2 linked regions of the Stegostoma tigrinum genome follow. The protein of the gene in region 2 purifies or fractionates together with the protein of the main gene of each other region. This does not show direct contact. Links are inferred from orthologs where the notes say so. Each region holds a gene or a part of one and is shown on either strand. Other genes may lie near its edges. The genes, in order: slc39a10 and mettl9.

Evidence for each region.
Region 1: the proteins of mettl9 (region 2) and slc39a10 purify together in Homo sapiens (co-immunoprecipitation; 3 studies listed by BioGRID and IntAct, with this or other methods). This does not show direct contact. The link is inferred for Stegostoma tigrinum from reciprocal best matches to the Homo sapiens genes METTL9 and SLC39A10.

What each region holds. Positions count from the first base shown.
Region 1 is NC_081360.1:33,020,874-33,028,914, forward strand, and holds the start of slc39a10 (zinc transporter ZIP10), read right to left. Parts: upstream 3,156-8,041; 5' UTR 3,080-3,155; intron 3,032-3,079; exon of another isoform or gene 2,953-3,031; intron 1-2,952. UniProt on the Homo sapiens protein: Zinc-influx transporter. When associated with SLC39A6, the heterodimer formed by SLC39A10 and SLC39A6 mediates cellular zinc uptake to trigger cells to undergo epithelial-to-mesenchymal transition (EMT).
Region 2 is NC_081376.1:34,319,698-34,327,534, reverse strand, and holds the start of mettl9 (methyltransferase-like protein 9), read right to left. Parts: upstream 3,034-7,837; 5' UTR 2,653-3,033; coding exon 2,560-2,652; intron 1,126-2,559; coding exon 935-1,125; intron 1-934. UniProt on the Homo sapiens protein: Protein-histidine N-methyltransferase that specifically catalyzes 1-methylhistidine (pros-methylhistidine) methylation of target proteins.

The sequences.
Region 1 (8,041 bases), on a different chromosome or scaffold from region 2:
AATTAGAACTGAAATTAGCATTTACCATTTACGAATCAACTCGTTTCATTTGTTGTAATTTTCATTCTGTCCATTGTTGCAATGGATTAGACTATATGTCACTTTCCTCATCAAGAACCCTATTATTGAAGGGGTATAATTACAGAATGACCGGTACTCAAAAAAATACTTCAATTATAAATCCACATCCTCAATTCAGCATTTCAGTGCTGCACTTAATTAGTCTAATGGATGCAAATTTGGAAGCTAGTGTTATGGCAATCTTAAATTCTTAGAAAACCATTTCAGCGATGGAAGGGCAGAGAGGGCAGTTTATTTTGCAATGGTATCAACAGCAGGTTGATTCATACACCACACACATTAGTTATGATAAAATTCAATTACAGATATGGCTCTGTTCCCCCAATATGACACTAGGATAAATTAAACCCATTTTACTTGGCTCCAAAATAAAAAACGCTTTTCCATAAAAGGTGTGGCCAGAGGGGCCAGATGCAAAGTTCCACCTCATCATCCCAAATAGTCTTACGGTAAGACAAAAATTTTGATCTAGATGTGAAAATACCAAAAGGAAGATTACATACACACAATATACAAGTTGGGAATTAATTTGTATTTTCTGGAACTAATTTTGGAAACCTTCCAAAACTAGTAAACAGCCTATAAGAATTGACAAATTGTAATAAACCTTGCTATGAAATCTCAAATGCAAAATAATTGAAATCATACTTAAAAGTCAGCCTTTAGTGAGGAATTTATCATCTTGCGTATTGATTCTTTACTGCAAATGGACAAAAAGATGTTACTACCTATGCTGTGCTCAAACCTAGGGATCAGGTCAATAACAGGCTGTAATAAATCCCAAAAAAGTAATTTGAAAGAGTGCTCTTTGCCCAAAAGCGTGTAGTATTTACCAAATGCTGGTAAAATACAAACATACTTATCACTTCCGTTAAAGTTGGAGGGGAAAAAACACTAAAGGATTCTGATAGGGTTGAACGAAGCCGAAGTTTGTGACACAAACACTGGACTAAACCAGTTCGGCTGAAATAATCGTTTGTGTTGCCGACTCAAAAATGCTGACAACCAAGTCATGGGACACAGCTATATTACTGATTGGACCTTATACTGAGTAGGCAACAGAATAGTTTGGTTGCCATGCCACCAAGTTGAAATTTTCTATTTAAAAGGTTTATATATTCATTGTAAAAATCCATCAAGTTAATACCACACTTCCAAATTATACGCACTTGTACAAAACGCTCTCGTATTTCAGGTGGGCAAGTGGTCACTACGACTGACTACTAAATGATTAGGATTCTGTCAGTACTAATTTAATGGCACAATTATCACTGTTACTGCTGGAACAACTGACGGTATGTCTTTTTTAAAAGACAGTTTTATTTCCAGTTTGTCCGTTATTCCCCTTTGAGTCCCATTGATTTGCCAATCTCCTCAGCACCCCCCCCAAAAAAAAAGTAAGCTCTGTGCAAGACAAAAGCATCAAAACGTTGGGCATTAATTTTTGAAACCAGTTTTCCACATTGCGTTTGGGGTACGTGCTTATGATCTACTGAAAAATTAATTGCTTCCGATGAGGATTCACGGGTAGATTTTCCATTTTCAAATGTTTAGAGAATTGCTTGTACATCAACATTATTTTAAAATAAAAACACTAGAAAATCACCAGTGTACGATACTCCGCATGAATTGCAATCTGCACTGACCAAAAGGCACTTAAACCAAAGCACAAGATTGAAAAATATACACACACCACCTCGAAAACAAACTGAAATTCAAGCTAGAGTTGATAAACACTGGTCGATTTAATTTCGTCATTATCACACAAAACATCTGACGATTTAAAAAAGTGTTATGGTATTACAATTTTATTACATTGGAATGATCATTACTGGACTGATAGAAGTTGTCATTTCATTCGCAGCTCTCAAAGAAAATAGAAAACGTATTAACTAGGAAAAACAAAATCAACTAAAACATCTGCAAGTGACTGACTGCTCCGCATTAGAAAATGCTAACAATGGCTTTTTTAAAAAAAAACTACAACGTATTTACGTGCCAATCTCCACATAACGGTCAGCGTTTCAGCCGCAGCGAACCTCGAGCTCGCTACTTGGGTTTATTATTTTAACGCTGGAGGTAAACCGGTTAAAAGAAAGTTAAGAAAATCGGGTCGGCGGGAAGTCATGCGTCCGAAAGAAAAAGCGTCCAAAAACCGGGTGCCGAAACTAATACTCTTTTTATAAAGATCCATAAGAGGTGGGGGGCGGGGAGGAGAGAAAAGCATCGACGAGATTTTTAAGAGAAAAGCACCACGAGGGCCGTAGCCGGCGGTAAACGGCGAACAGGGCAGCCAGCGGCTGCTCAGTGCTAAGCACACTGCAGTGCCGCAGCAACAAAATCGAAGACGCGGTGTTTGGCGCCGGGCTCCCGCCGCTCCGCAAGTACAACATTACAACGGCCGCCGGCAGATTAAATAAAACCCCAACCGGCGCCGCCGTCGGCATCCCTCTACTCTCCACCACATACAAACAAAAATAAAAAGACGTGTACTCTTTACAACGCCTAAATCAAACATCTCGTCATTAGGCCTCGAATCAGGCGGTCGCCCCGCCATTGTTATTCTGAAGCACGTTTTACTCTTAAAACACCCAACATCGGAGAGAGAGAGAGAGAAAAAATGGCAACACGTGACGCCGACCCAAGCTCGAGCGCAGCGAGACCCGTCTTTTTCTCTCTGTCTCCCCCTGCCACCCACCCCATTTGCTTTCCTCTCCCCAACGATCCCTTTCTGCACGCGTTCAACACGCGGGATTTCAACCAAACGGAATACATTCGCCTGGCGCAGCTCAGCGCCCAGAGCTGCACACTCGCGTGTAAACGCTCGGCGACTGGGGCGGTGAGAAGGGAAACAAATGGGTGTTTAAATACCTCACTCGAGTGCCGTGTGCATCCTCTCCGCTCGGTACCAACACAGGGAGCGCGGAGGGCGGGCCGGGGCCGCGCGGGGCTGGACCACGGTGCGCGCGCGCGCTACACGACGCTCGCGCCAACTAACCTCCCTTTCAAAACTCCAACGGCCGGCTTGACCGTTTATCGGCCTGAGCGCACACTCACACAGTCAGTGTGATCAAACAGACACACACACAGCATACCAGTCTGATCAGACGCACAGACACATACACAAACAGACTACACACACGTACATGCATAAACACACAACATGCAGTCAGCCTGATCTTACACACACGTGCATGCACAAACACACAGTCTGATCTTAACACACACACACACAACCAGTCTAACCTTCTACACACAGGACCAGAGATAATGGGAACTGCAGATGCTGGAGAATTCCAAGATAATAAAATGTGAGGCTGGATGAACACAGCAGGCCAAGCAGCATCTCAGGAGCACAAAAGCTGATGTTTCGGGCCTAGACCCTTTACACACAGGACCAGTCTGATCTCTCTCTCACACACAAAATTCGATTCCACCCTTGGGTGACTATTGACTACATAGGTTTCCTGCCATAATCCAAAGATGTGCAGGCTAGGTGGATTGGCCATGCTAAATTACCCGCAGTGTTCAGGGATACGTAAATTAGGCAGGTTATAGGGGAATGGGTCATGGTGGGATGCTTCGAGGGCTGGTGTGGATATGTTGGGCTGAAAGGCCTATTTCTACACTGTAGGGATTTTATGAAAACGAGTCTGATCACTCACTCGCGCGCACACACACACACACACACACACAACCAGGCTGATCACTCACACACACACACACACAACCAGCCTGGTCACTCACACGCACACACAGCCAGCCTGATCACACTCACATGCACACACACACACAACCAGGCTGATCACTCACACGCACACAACCAGCCTGATCACTCACACACACACACACACACACAACCAGCCTGATCTTTCACACACACACACACACACACACAACCAGCCTGATCTTTCACACACACACACACACACACAACCAGCCTGATCTTTCACACACACACACACACACAACCAGCCTGATCACTCACACACACACACACACACACACACACACAACCAGCCTGATCTTTCACACACACACACACACACACACACACACACACACAACCAGCCTGATCACTCACACACACACACACACACACACAACCAGCCTGATCACTCACAAACACACACAACCGGCCTGATCACTCACGCACACACAACCAGCCTGATCACTCACACGCACACAACCAGCCTGATCACTCACACGCACACACAACCAGTCTGATCACTCACACGCACTCACACACACACACACACAACCAGCCTGATCACTCACACGCACACACAGCCTGCCTGATCACACTCACACGCACACACACACACACACACACACACACAACCAGGCTGATCACTCACACGCACACACACACACACACACACACACACAACCAGCCTGATCACTCACACACACAACCAGCCTGATCACTCACACGCACCACAACCAGCCTGATCACACTCACACACACACACACACACACACACAACCAGCCTGATCACTCACACGCACACACAGCCTGCCTGATCACACTCACACGCACACACACACACACACACACACACACAACCAGGCTGATCACTCACACGCACACACACACACACACACACACACACAACCAGCCTGATCACTCACACACACAACCAGCCTGATCACTCACACGCACCACAACCAGCCTGATCACTCACACACACACACACACACACACACACAACCAGCCTGATCTTTCACACACACACACACACACACACACACACACACACAACCAGCCTGATCACTCACACACACACACACACACACACAACCAGCCTGATCACTCACAAACACACACAACCGGCCTGATCACTCACGCACACACAACCAGCCTGATCACTCACACGCACAACCAGCCTGATTACTCACATGCACACACACAACCAGCCTGATCACACACAGACAGACACACACACACACAACCAGCCTGATCACACGCAGACACACACACCAGTCTGATCACACACAGGCAACCAGTCTGATCACACACATGTGTGTGCACACCCAGTCTGATCTCATGCACGCATACACACACACACCCAGTCTGATCACACACAAGCACACGCACGCACACACAGCCTGATCAAACACACACACATGCACAGTCTGATCTCACACACACACACACACAGTCTGATCACATAGAACATTACAGCGCAGAACAGGCCCTTCAACCCTTGTTGTTGCACTGACCTGTGAACTAATCCACGCCCATCTCCGTACACTATCCCATCATCATCCATATGCTTATCCAAGGACTGTTTAAATGCCCCTAATGTGGCTGAGTTAACCACATTGGCAGGCAGGGCATTCCACGCCCTTACCACTCCTGAGTAAAGAACCTGCCTCTGACATCTGCCTTAAATCTATCACCCCTCAATTTGCAGCTATGCCCCATCGTACAAGCCAACGTCATCATCCTAGGAAAAACACTCTCACTGTCCACCCTATCTAATCCTCTGATCATCTTGTATGTCTCTATTAAATCCCCTCTTAGCCGCCTTCTCTCCAATGAGAACAGACCCAAGTCCCTCAGCCTTTCCTCATAAGACCTTCGCTCCAGACCAGGCAACATCCTGGTAAAATAGTATCAGAGATAATGGGAACTGCAGATGCTGGAGAATTCCAAGATAATAAAATGTGAGGCTGGATGAACACAGCAGGCCAAGCAGCATCTCAGGAGCACAAAAGCTGACGTTTCGGGCCTAGACTAGGCCCGAAGCGTCAGCTTTTGTGCTCCTGAGATGCTGCTTGGCCTGCTGTGTTCATCCAGCCTCACATTTTATTATCTAACATCCTGGTAAATCTCCTCTGCACCTTTTCCAATGCTTCCATATTCTTCCTGTAGTGGGGTAATCAGAACTGCACGCAATATTCCAAGTGAGGCCGCACTGGCGATTTATATAGTTGAAGCATGACATCACGGCTCCAGAACTCAATCCTTCAACCAATAAAACCTAACACACTGTATGTCTTCTTAACAGCACTATCAACCTGGGTGGCAACTTTCAGGGACCTATGTAAATGGACACCAAGATCCCTCTGCACATCCACAGTACCAAGACTCTTTCCATTGACCCAGTATTCTGCCTTCCTATTATTCTTCCCAAAGTGAATCACCTCATATTTATCTGTATTAAACTCCATTTGCCACCTTTCAGCCCAATTCTGCAGCTTATCCAAGTCTCCCTGCAACGTGCAACATTATTCCACACTGTCCACCACTCCACCGACTTTAGTGTCATTTGCAAACTTACTAACCCGCCCACCCAGGCCTGCGTCCAAGTCATTTATAAAAATGACAGACAGCAGTGGTCCCAAAACAGATCCTTGAGGCACACCACTAGTAACCAGACTCCAGGCTGAATATTTTCCATCAACCACCACTCATTGCCTTCTTAGAGAAAGCCAGTTTCTAATCCAAACTGCTAAACCTCCCTCAATCCCATGCCTCCGCATTTTTTCCAATAGCTTACCATGTGGAACCTTATCAAAGGCTTTACTGAAGCCCATGTACACTACGTCAACTGCCCTTCCCTCATCCTCATGCTTGGTCACCTTCTCAAAAAACTCAATGAGGTTTGTGAGACATGACCTGCCCTTGACAAATCCATGTTGACTATCTCCAATCAATTTGTTGCTTGCTAGATGATTATAAATCCTATCTCTTAGAATCCTTTCCAAAACTTCCTACAACAGACGTAAGGCTCACTGGTCTATAATTACAACTGGGCCATCTCTACTGCCCTTCTTGAACAAGGGCACAACATTTGCAATCCTCCAGTCCTCTGGTACTAAACCTGTAGACAATGACGACTCAAAGATCAAGGCTAAAGGCTCCTCCATCTCCTCCCTAGCATCCCAGAGTATCCTCAGAAAAATCCCATCCGACCCAGGGGATTATCAACCTTTACAACTTCTAGAATTCATAACACCTCCTCCTTACTAACCTCAATCCTTTCAAGTCTAATAGCCCATATCTCAGTCTTCTCCTCTACAATACTCTCGTTTTCTTGAGTGAAAACAGATGAGAAATGTTCGTTTAGCACCTCTCCGATCTCCACCAGGTCCACACACAACTTCCCACTTCTGTCTTTGACTGGCCCTATTCCTACCCTAGTCATCCTTTTATTGCTCACATACCTATAGAAAGCTTTAGGGTTCTCCTTTATTCTACCTGCTAATGACTGCTAATGTTCCCTCCTTGCTCTTCTTAACTTTCTCTTTAAATCCTTCCTAGCTACTCTTCATCGCCTCATCTGAACCATCTCGTCTCAACATCTCATAAGCCTCCCTCTTCCGCTTAACAAGTGATACAATTTCTTCAGTAAACCACGGCTCCCTTAACTTATCACTTCCTCCCTGCCTGACAGGGACATTCCTATCAAGGACACGTAATATCTGTTCCTTAAACCAGCTCCACATTTCGATTGTCACCATCCCCTGCGTTTTGCTCCCCCATTCTATGCCTCCTAAATTTTGCCTAATTGCATTATAATTGCCCTTCCCCCATCTATAACTCTTGCCCTGTGGCATGTTCCTATCCATTTCCATCGCTAAACTAAACGTAACCGATTTATGGTCACTCTCTCCAAAGTGCTCACCTACCACTAAATCAAATACCTGGCCTGCTTCATTACCAAGTACCAGATCCAGGGTGGCCTCCCGTCTTGTCGGCCCGTCGACATACTGTGTCAGGAAACCGTCCAGCACACATTGGACAAAAACTGATCCATCCGACGTACTAGAGTTATAGCATTTCCAGTCAATGTTGTGGAAGTTAAAAGTCTCCCATAATGACCACCCTGTTCCTTTCAGTCCTGCCCAGAATCATTTTGCCAATCCTCTCCTCCACATCCCTGGAACTTTGCGGAGGCCTTTAAAAAACTTACAGGAGTGTGACCTCCCCTCTCCTGTTTCTGACCTTAGC
Region 2 (7,837 bases):
GAATTTCATATAGAAGATTCTAGTTTTTTTTTGTCCATAGGTGAAGTATGCACAGCTTGGTAAAATTTTTTTTTAAGTTTCAGTTTGGGGCAGTTTGCAAAAGACTTGCCTGAAGTTGGAAGTGTCATTCAGTTGTTCCTGAGAAAGGCAGGTAGTTTTACATCTGTTAAGAAAGGGGTTGCCTCAGTTTAATTTTAGCTTAAAAGGTTCCAGATGAGAAGTGTTTGATTTAAACTCTGAATGACTTTGAGCATCAATTAGCCCAAAGATAAATTATATGAAAGCTCCAGGAAGTTGCTATCAAATTCTCAAACCCGAAACCTCAGTAAAATTAAAAACTATAAGTGTTAAAGGGAAGAAAACTCTCTCTTATGTAAAGGAGTGGTTTTTGAGTTGAACGGGATTGTATTTTATCATGTCATTCAAAATCTTTAAATTTGAGTTGTATTTCAATAGCTTGATTTATTCTATTTTATCTTCATTTCTTTTGTATAATAAACTCTTGTTCTAATGTTAAACTGGAATCTGCATCATTAGATTTTGGGTTTCAGTGAAAGACACTTATTAACATGACCTAGCAACCCAAATTTCAGTCTGGGATCTGGCTTGTCCAATAACAACATCAACTGGAGTCATTACAGTTGGGAATGTAAATAATGACTAGGACTCCAGGTCAGAACTCCTCTGGCCACCTTCAAAATGCATCAAGAGAGAGTGCCAATCATCTTTGTTCATGGCAGGTCAATTTTCAGTGATTTTTTGAGCTAAAACCAGCATCCTGTTTTTAATCTGTCTTTTAACAATACGCATGATCCTTGGTGGTGGGGACTTAGCAGACACTTCACCCTGGGATGAGAGTTACCACCAATATAAGACAGCCTTGTGACCCCACAAAATTGGAAATACAATTTTTTTAAAAAATTAATCATTTTACCCATTGATGGAGGTCTTGGACATGAACAGACCAAACACAGAAGTGACGAGGGAGTAATAAATCTGAACAAAAAGCCAGCTGGATTTCTCTGAACATTGCCTGAGAAACGCATGTGTCCCCACATCTAGATGACTCTGAACAAATGATGGCTGCAGACATATTGGCAGCAATTCCATGTCACAGGCATACCACTGCAAAAAGAATGACAACGGTGTCAGCACCTTCGATAGAAATTACTGGTAATTATACATGCTCCAAACAATTGTTACTAAATCTCTTCTTCCTTTGTTACCTCCCAATTTGATTATCCTACGCCTAGCTGGCTTTCCATCTCACACCATTGGTAAACATGAGCTCTTTCAATATTCTGCTGGCCATATCCTCACTTGCACCAAATCATCAGCATCCTTGTACATTCACTCATAACTAAATAATGCTTCAATTTTAAAACTATTGGTCTTGTTTATAAATCCCTCCGTTGCCTCATCTCACACTCCCTAACTCTAATCTGCTCCAGACCCCAAACCCTCTGAGTTCCAATTTTGGGCTTTTGATGCACCTCCTGGATTTTAAGTGCTCCATCACTGTATAGCTGGGGTGGAGGAGAAAGTGGCAAAGTAAGGTCACTGGTTTGGCTATCCAGAAGCCCAGGCTAAGGCTCTGGGGTATAAGTTCACATCCTTCTACAGCAGCTGGTGGAATTCAAATTCAATTCACAAAACTCTGGAATACAGGTCTAGGGTCCTATGGGTCAATGTTTTGAGTACAGTGACTTTTCCTCTGAACTTCCTCAAAGTCTTGAAGAATGTCACTGGGCTAGAAATATTAAGTCTGCTTTCTGTCCCCAGTTGCTGCCAGACTTGCTGAGGTTCTCCAGCAATTTATTTTTGTGTTTGAAGTGTTATGATAGTTATTACATTAGCAAGAATTATAGGCAGCTATTTTTACACCAAACTAGGGTATAATTAGTTGTAAGTCCACTCGGGAAAGTAACCAGAACCTCAGTCTAAATATCTCATCGAAGAGGTAATAACAACTTCAAAAGTGTAGCATACCCTCAGCCCTGATCCTAGTACCAATTTTCCAACAACACAGCAGTTTCTCAGAACTGTATTCTTAAGTTTTCTCTCAGGATCACACCGTTGTTAGCTACCCTCCTACCTTACAGCCTGCCCTCTGCCAGCATGCTGCCTCTTTCAGTGCATCCACTCTGCCACCAGCCCAACCCACCCCTCACCCAATGCCTCAGGGTTCACCCTCTGTTGGCATCCTCACCCTCCCTCAGAACAGCACTGGATCATCCACCAAGATTTTGTGCTCAAGTTTCTGGAGTGGAACGGCAAACCACAGGCATCCGTCACAGGTGACCATAAGATATAGGAGGAGAAGTAAGACATTCAGCCCATCCAGTCTGCTTCAATCAAGGTAGACAATTATCATCACTATCTCTATGACAACTGGAGCAGGATAAAATAAGCATCAGGAAATGAATTACAACAAGGTTTCTACACAGTAACTTGATTCCGGCAGAAATGCACGTCCTTTAGAATCTCACAGCAGCACCAAAAGCTTTTTCTCGGTTAAAACAACTTTCTATTTCCAACCAAAGAAACAGACTGATGTACCTGGGACTTGTCGTGTTCTTCGTCGCCCTGATGCCTCACGTTGCTGAACAACGAGCGGGACAAGGGGCTCCGCAGGTATTTACTGCTCCACATTTTCCTCAGCTGCAGGAGTGCAACAAAGTAACAGAGCAGGAGCAGCACTCGCTTCACAGCCGTCCTGGGAATTCCGGGCGGGAGGGGGTGTGACACCCCTCACCCCACTCAACGCTACCCCGTCTGATCCCGGGGACTCCAGGGGACCCCCTCCCCACAGGAGACCCTTCCCTTACCCCCTTCTCGGGGGTCAACAGGGGGCAAACATTTTGCAGAGAAGGTGAAAAAGCAGCAGATGCGTCCAGGATCCTCCCATCCTCCCACCCCCCCCCCCCTTCACCAGCACGGACCCCACCACATCCCAAACTCAAGGTGCGTTTCTGTAATCAGCCTCAGAGTCCCCCATTCCCGCTGACTTCCTGTATCCCGGGAGATTTCCGCTCCTGGCTGACACTTGAGCAGTTCAGCATTGGACAGCTTTCTTGCGTCTCTGATTGGTTTGCAGCTCAATGCCATGATTGGCCAGTCGACGAAGGCGCTCCTGATTGGCTACTCTGGGTTTCCAAAGAGGCGTGCCGTTTGAAAGTGAGAAAGTTCCCGGGTCCAGGACTCAAGCTGGAGACTCGGATTTGAACGCGTTAACACGGATTAGGGATAATGGCAATGGTGATCATTTTTAACGTTTCATTTTGGTGGGTTTTGGTCACCACAATGGAGTGTGGAAAACCAAAGAAAAACTACGAGATCGGTATTGTCTCTCTAAACATTTTGAAGTTTGTGCCTACGAGGATCACAAAGAATCAAAATATAAACTGACTTTCGTCCCTTACCTTTTGTACGGTAATCTAAACATCAAATACTATACTGCATCAGTGGAGTTGGTTGACTGAGTCTCAAAAACATATTTCTGAATTAGACCCGACTTTTCAGAGTGTTAATCTCAACCAAGAGTTTTTCCCCATTAAGTAAGAAGTTCGCATTTCTGGCAGTAGATTCCAATTATGGCTCCTTCAGAAATGAGGTGTATCTTAAATCCGTGATAATGGGAACTGCAGATGCTGGAGAATCCAAGATAATAAAATGTGAGGCTGGATGAACACAGCAGGCCCATCCCCCTCTCTGATGAAGGGTCTAGGCCCGAAACGTCAGCTTTTGTGCTCCTGAGATGCTGCTCGGCCTGCTGTGTTCATCCAGCCTCACATTTTATTATCTTGTATCTTAAATCCAACAGGTAGTGCAGAATAATTGGGAAATGTCAACCCAAACCCTTTTTCACAGCAGTAGTTGCTATATTCTGTGATTTAAATGTCTCGCATTAAGACAGCCAATTTGATGTTTCCTGGAAAATAGTCTGAAAGGGAGTTTATTTGTGCAGTGGTGGTTCACTCACCTCTGAATCAGGAGACCTGGATTCAAATCCCACCTGCTCCAAAGTATCTAATGGCAACTGAACGAGTAGATTAGAAAATATCCGCAAAGTGTGAGGTTAGAATGCAAGGTAAGCGATGGTGGGCAGGACTGTTGGGTCTGACAAAGGGAGGGAGACGTTGACTACCACAGCAAAGAGGTGCTAATTCCAGAAGTACGACGGGGAAGTCATGTCACTGAGAAGAGGGAGTGTTGACAGATCCTACCGGGTGTCAGGGTCAGTGGCACATTGGAACTGGATGTCAACTCAATCTTTGGGGGTATAAGGGGCTTGGGTGATGCATGTTTCTCACACGTATCAGCCCCTCTGTTTCCTCACACTGTTTCTCGCGCGCCGTTACGGACCCCCTGCTCCAGCCGCGCTGTGTTCCGCGCCCCTCTGTTTCTCGCATTGTGTTTCAACCCCTCTCTTTCACTCAGTGTGTTTGACCCCTCTCTGTTTATCCCTATTTGGTGCAATAAGTCAGGGGCTCGTTTAAATGTTACCTATATGTTAAGCCAGGTTTTATTTAATTGTCTGACTTTTCCTGGGTAACTATTAACCAGAGGAAATCTCTTCAAATTATGATTTAAATGGATACTTTCAAAGAGTATCAGCCGTAAGGGATCTTTATTTCCACTGACAATTGCCTGATTCTGTTATGTCAGAACAATGCAGGGTTGCATCATACAACTCCTACGCACGCTACAGAAACAACTTTCTACTGTTCAAAAAATGTTAGCCAAGATCATTGATGCACATTGCCATTATTCAGAGATTAAGAATGAAACCAGAAACCATATAAATGTATATATGTGAAGATAAATTAGTGCAAGTCCAACTTTTAAAAATGCCTTTGTGGTGCATGTTTTCACATTTACATTATAAACACCATTTCATTTTGTTTCAATTAATAATTGTGAAGGCATGTTAAGAATACAGATTTTTATTTAAAACTGGAATACAGAACTATTTGGACATTGTTATTAAAAAAGGATTTCCTGTAACTGTTCGACAATAACGTGGACTGTAATTTACCCAAAATAAACTGAAAGTCAAGTAAATAAAATGCGAGGCTGGATGAACACAGCAGGCCGAGCAGCATCTCAGGAGCACAAAAGCTGACGTTTCGGGCCTAGACCCTTCATCAGAGAGGGGGATGGGGGGAGGGAACTGGAATAAATAGGGAGAGAGGGGGAGGCGGACCGAAGATGGAGAGTAAAGAAGATAGGTGGAGAGAGTGTAGGTGGGGAGGTAGGGAGGGGATAGGTCAGTCCAGGGGAGACGGACAGGTCAAGGAGGTGGGATGAGGTTAGTAGGTAGCGGGGGGTGCGGCTTGGGGTGGGAGGAAGGGATGGGTGAGAGGAAGAACCGGTTAGGGAGGCAGAGACAGGTGGGACTGGTTTTGGGATGTAGTGGGTGGGGGGGGAAGAGCTGGGCTGGTTGTGTGGTGCAGTGGGGGGAGGGGATGAACTGGGCTGGTTTAGGGATGCAGTTGGGGAAGGGGAGATTTTGAAACTGGTGAAGTCCACATTGATACCATATGGCTGCAGGGTTCCCAGGCGGAATATGAGTTGCTGTTCCTGCAACCTTCGGGTGGCATCATTGTGGCAGTGCAGGAGGCCCGTGATGGACATGTCATCAAGAGAATGGGAGGGGGAGTGGAAATGGTTTGCGACTGGGAGGTGCAGTTGTTTGTTGCGAACTGAGCGGAGGTGTTCTGCAAAGCGGTCCCCAAGCCTCCGCTTGGTTTCCCCAATGTAGAGGAAGCCGCACCAGGTACAGTGGATGCAGTATACCACATTGGCAGATGTGCAGGTGAACCTCTGCTTGATGTGGAATGTCATCTTGGGGCCTGGGATGGGGGTGAGGGAGGAGGTGTGGGGACAAGTGTAGCATTTCCTGCGGTTGCAGGGGAAGGTGCCGGGTGTGGTGGGGTTTGAGGGCAGTGTGGAGCGAACAAGGGAGTCACGGAGTGAGTGGTCTCTCCGGAAAGCAGACAGGGGAGGGGATGGAAAAATGTCTTGGGTGGTGGGGTCGGATTGTAAATGGCGGAAGTGTCGGAGGATAATACATTGTATCCGGAGGTTGGTAGGGTGGTGTGTGAGAACGAGGGGGATCCTCTTGGGGCGGTTGTGGCGGGGGCGGGGTGTGAGGGATGTGTCGCGGGAAATGCGGTCAAGGGCGTTCTCGATCACCGTGGGGGGAAAGTTGCGGTCCTTAAAGAACTTGGACATCTGGGATGTGCGGGAGTGGAATGTCTTATCGTGGGAGCAGATGCGGCGGAGGCGGAGGAATTGGGAATAGGGGATGGAATTTTTGCAGGAGGGTGGGTGGGAGGAGGTGTATTCTAGGTAGCTGTGGGAGTCGGTGGGCTTGAAATGGACATCAGTTACAAGCTGGTTGCCTGAGATGGAGACTGAGAGGTCCAGGAAGGTGAGGGATGTGCTGGAGATGGCCCAGGTGAACTGAAGGTTGGGGTGGAAGGTGTTGGTGAAGTGGATGAACTGTTCGAGCTCCTCTGGGGAGCAAGAGGCGGCGCCGATACAGTCATCAATGTACCGGAGGAAGAGGTGGGGTTTGGGGCCTGTGTAGGTGCGGAAGAGGGATTGTTCCACGTAACCTACAAAGAGGCAGGCATAGCTGGGGCCCATGCGGGTGCCCATGGCCACCCCCTTAGTCTGTAGGAAGTGGGAGGAGTCAAAAGAGAAGTTGTTGAGTGTGAGGACGAGTTCAGCTAGGCGGATGAGAGTGTCGGTGGAGGGGGACTGGTCGGGCCTGCGGGACAGGAAGAAGCGGAGGGCCTTGAGGCCATCTCCATGCGGAATGCAGGTGTACAGGGACTGGACGAAAGTCAAGTAACTTTGGCAAGACGACAAACAATTCTTTATTATAACAAAACGTAGAGCTGGATGAACACAGCAGGCCAAGCAGCATCTTAGGAGCACAGAAGCTGACATTTCGGGCCTAGACCCTTCATTCTTTGTTTGAGATGGGATCAGCTTTATTGCTTTATTCGCTGGAAAACTTGGTTTGGTAGAGATAGGGCCTAACGACATTCTTCTGAAGTTGGCATATTTTCCAGTGGATACTTAGTTGTGGAGTAGAAAAGACCTCCAAAACTTGCAATAAACAAGACTCACTCCTGAAAAATAAGAAACCTTAAAAAAGCAGGACTATCAGAAAGTATCTCTGATAGCCTGAGAAAGTTCTGAATATTAGTCTGACTACTTCATCAGCCTTGAAAGCTGATCTGTTACTTCCATTCAAAAATCCAAGTCCAGCTGACTTTTCATCTAAACTGATCTGGGATGAGAAAAACAAAAAACAAAAAAAAAAATCACTGACTTTAAAACTGTTAGCATTTTGAACTCCTCAACAGGAAACTGAGAAGCAAAGAAGTCATTAGTTACTGATGAGTTTATGCCCTTAACCAAATGCTTATTTTTTTAATATATATAAAAAAAGGAAAAACATCTTTGCAAATGTATGAAATGGATTTAAAGATTGATAGTCCAGATAATACAAACCCAATCACTGAAAAACCTGAAGCAAGAATCATACTATAGACCAATGAGCCAGCTGCCCCCCTACCATCAAGAACTAGGACAACATATACCAGGAACATGAAACTTTTCTCTAAGTACTCAGTCCCAACTAGGAACTATTGTTCTTTCATGGTGATTGGGTCAAACTCCTGGAACACTACCTTCTCACAATTGTGGAGGTACCCACATCAAATGGACTGCAATGGTTCAGGGTAGCTTACCTCCACCTCTAAATGTGGCCACTAAGTGCTGAGCCATTCAACAAAGTCCACATCCACTGAATTAATAC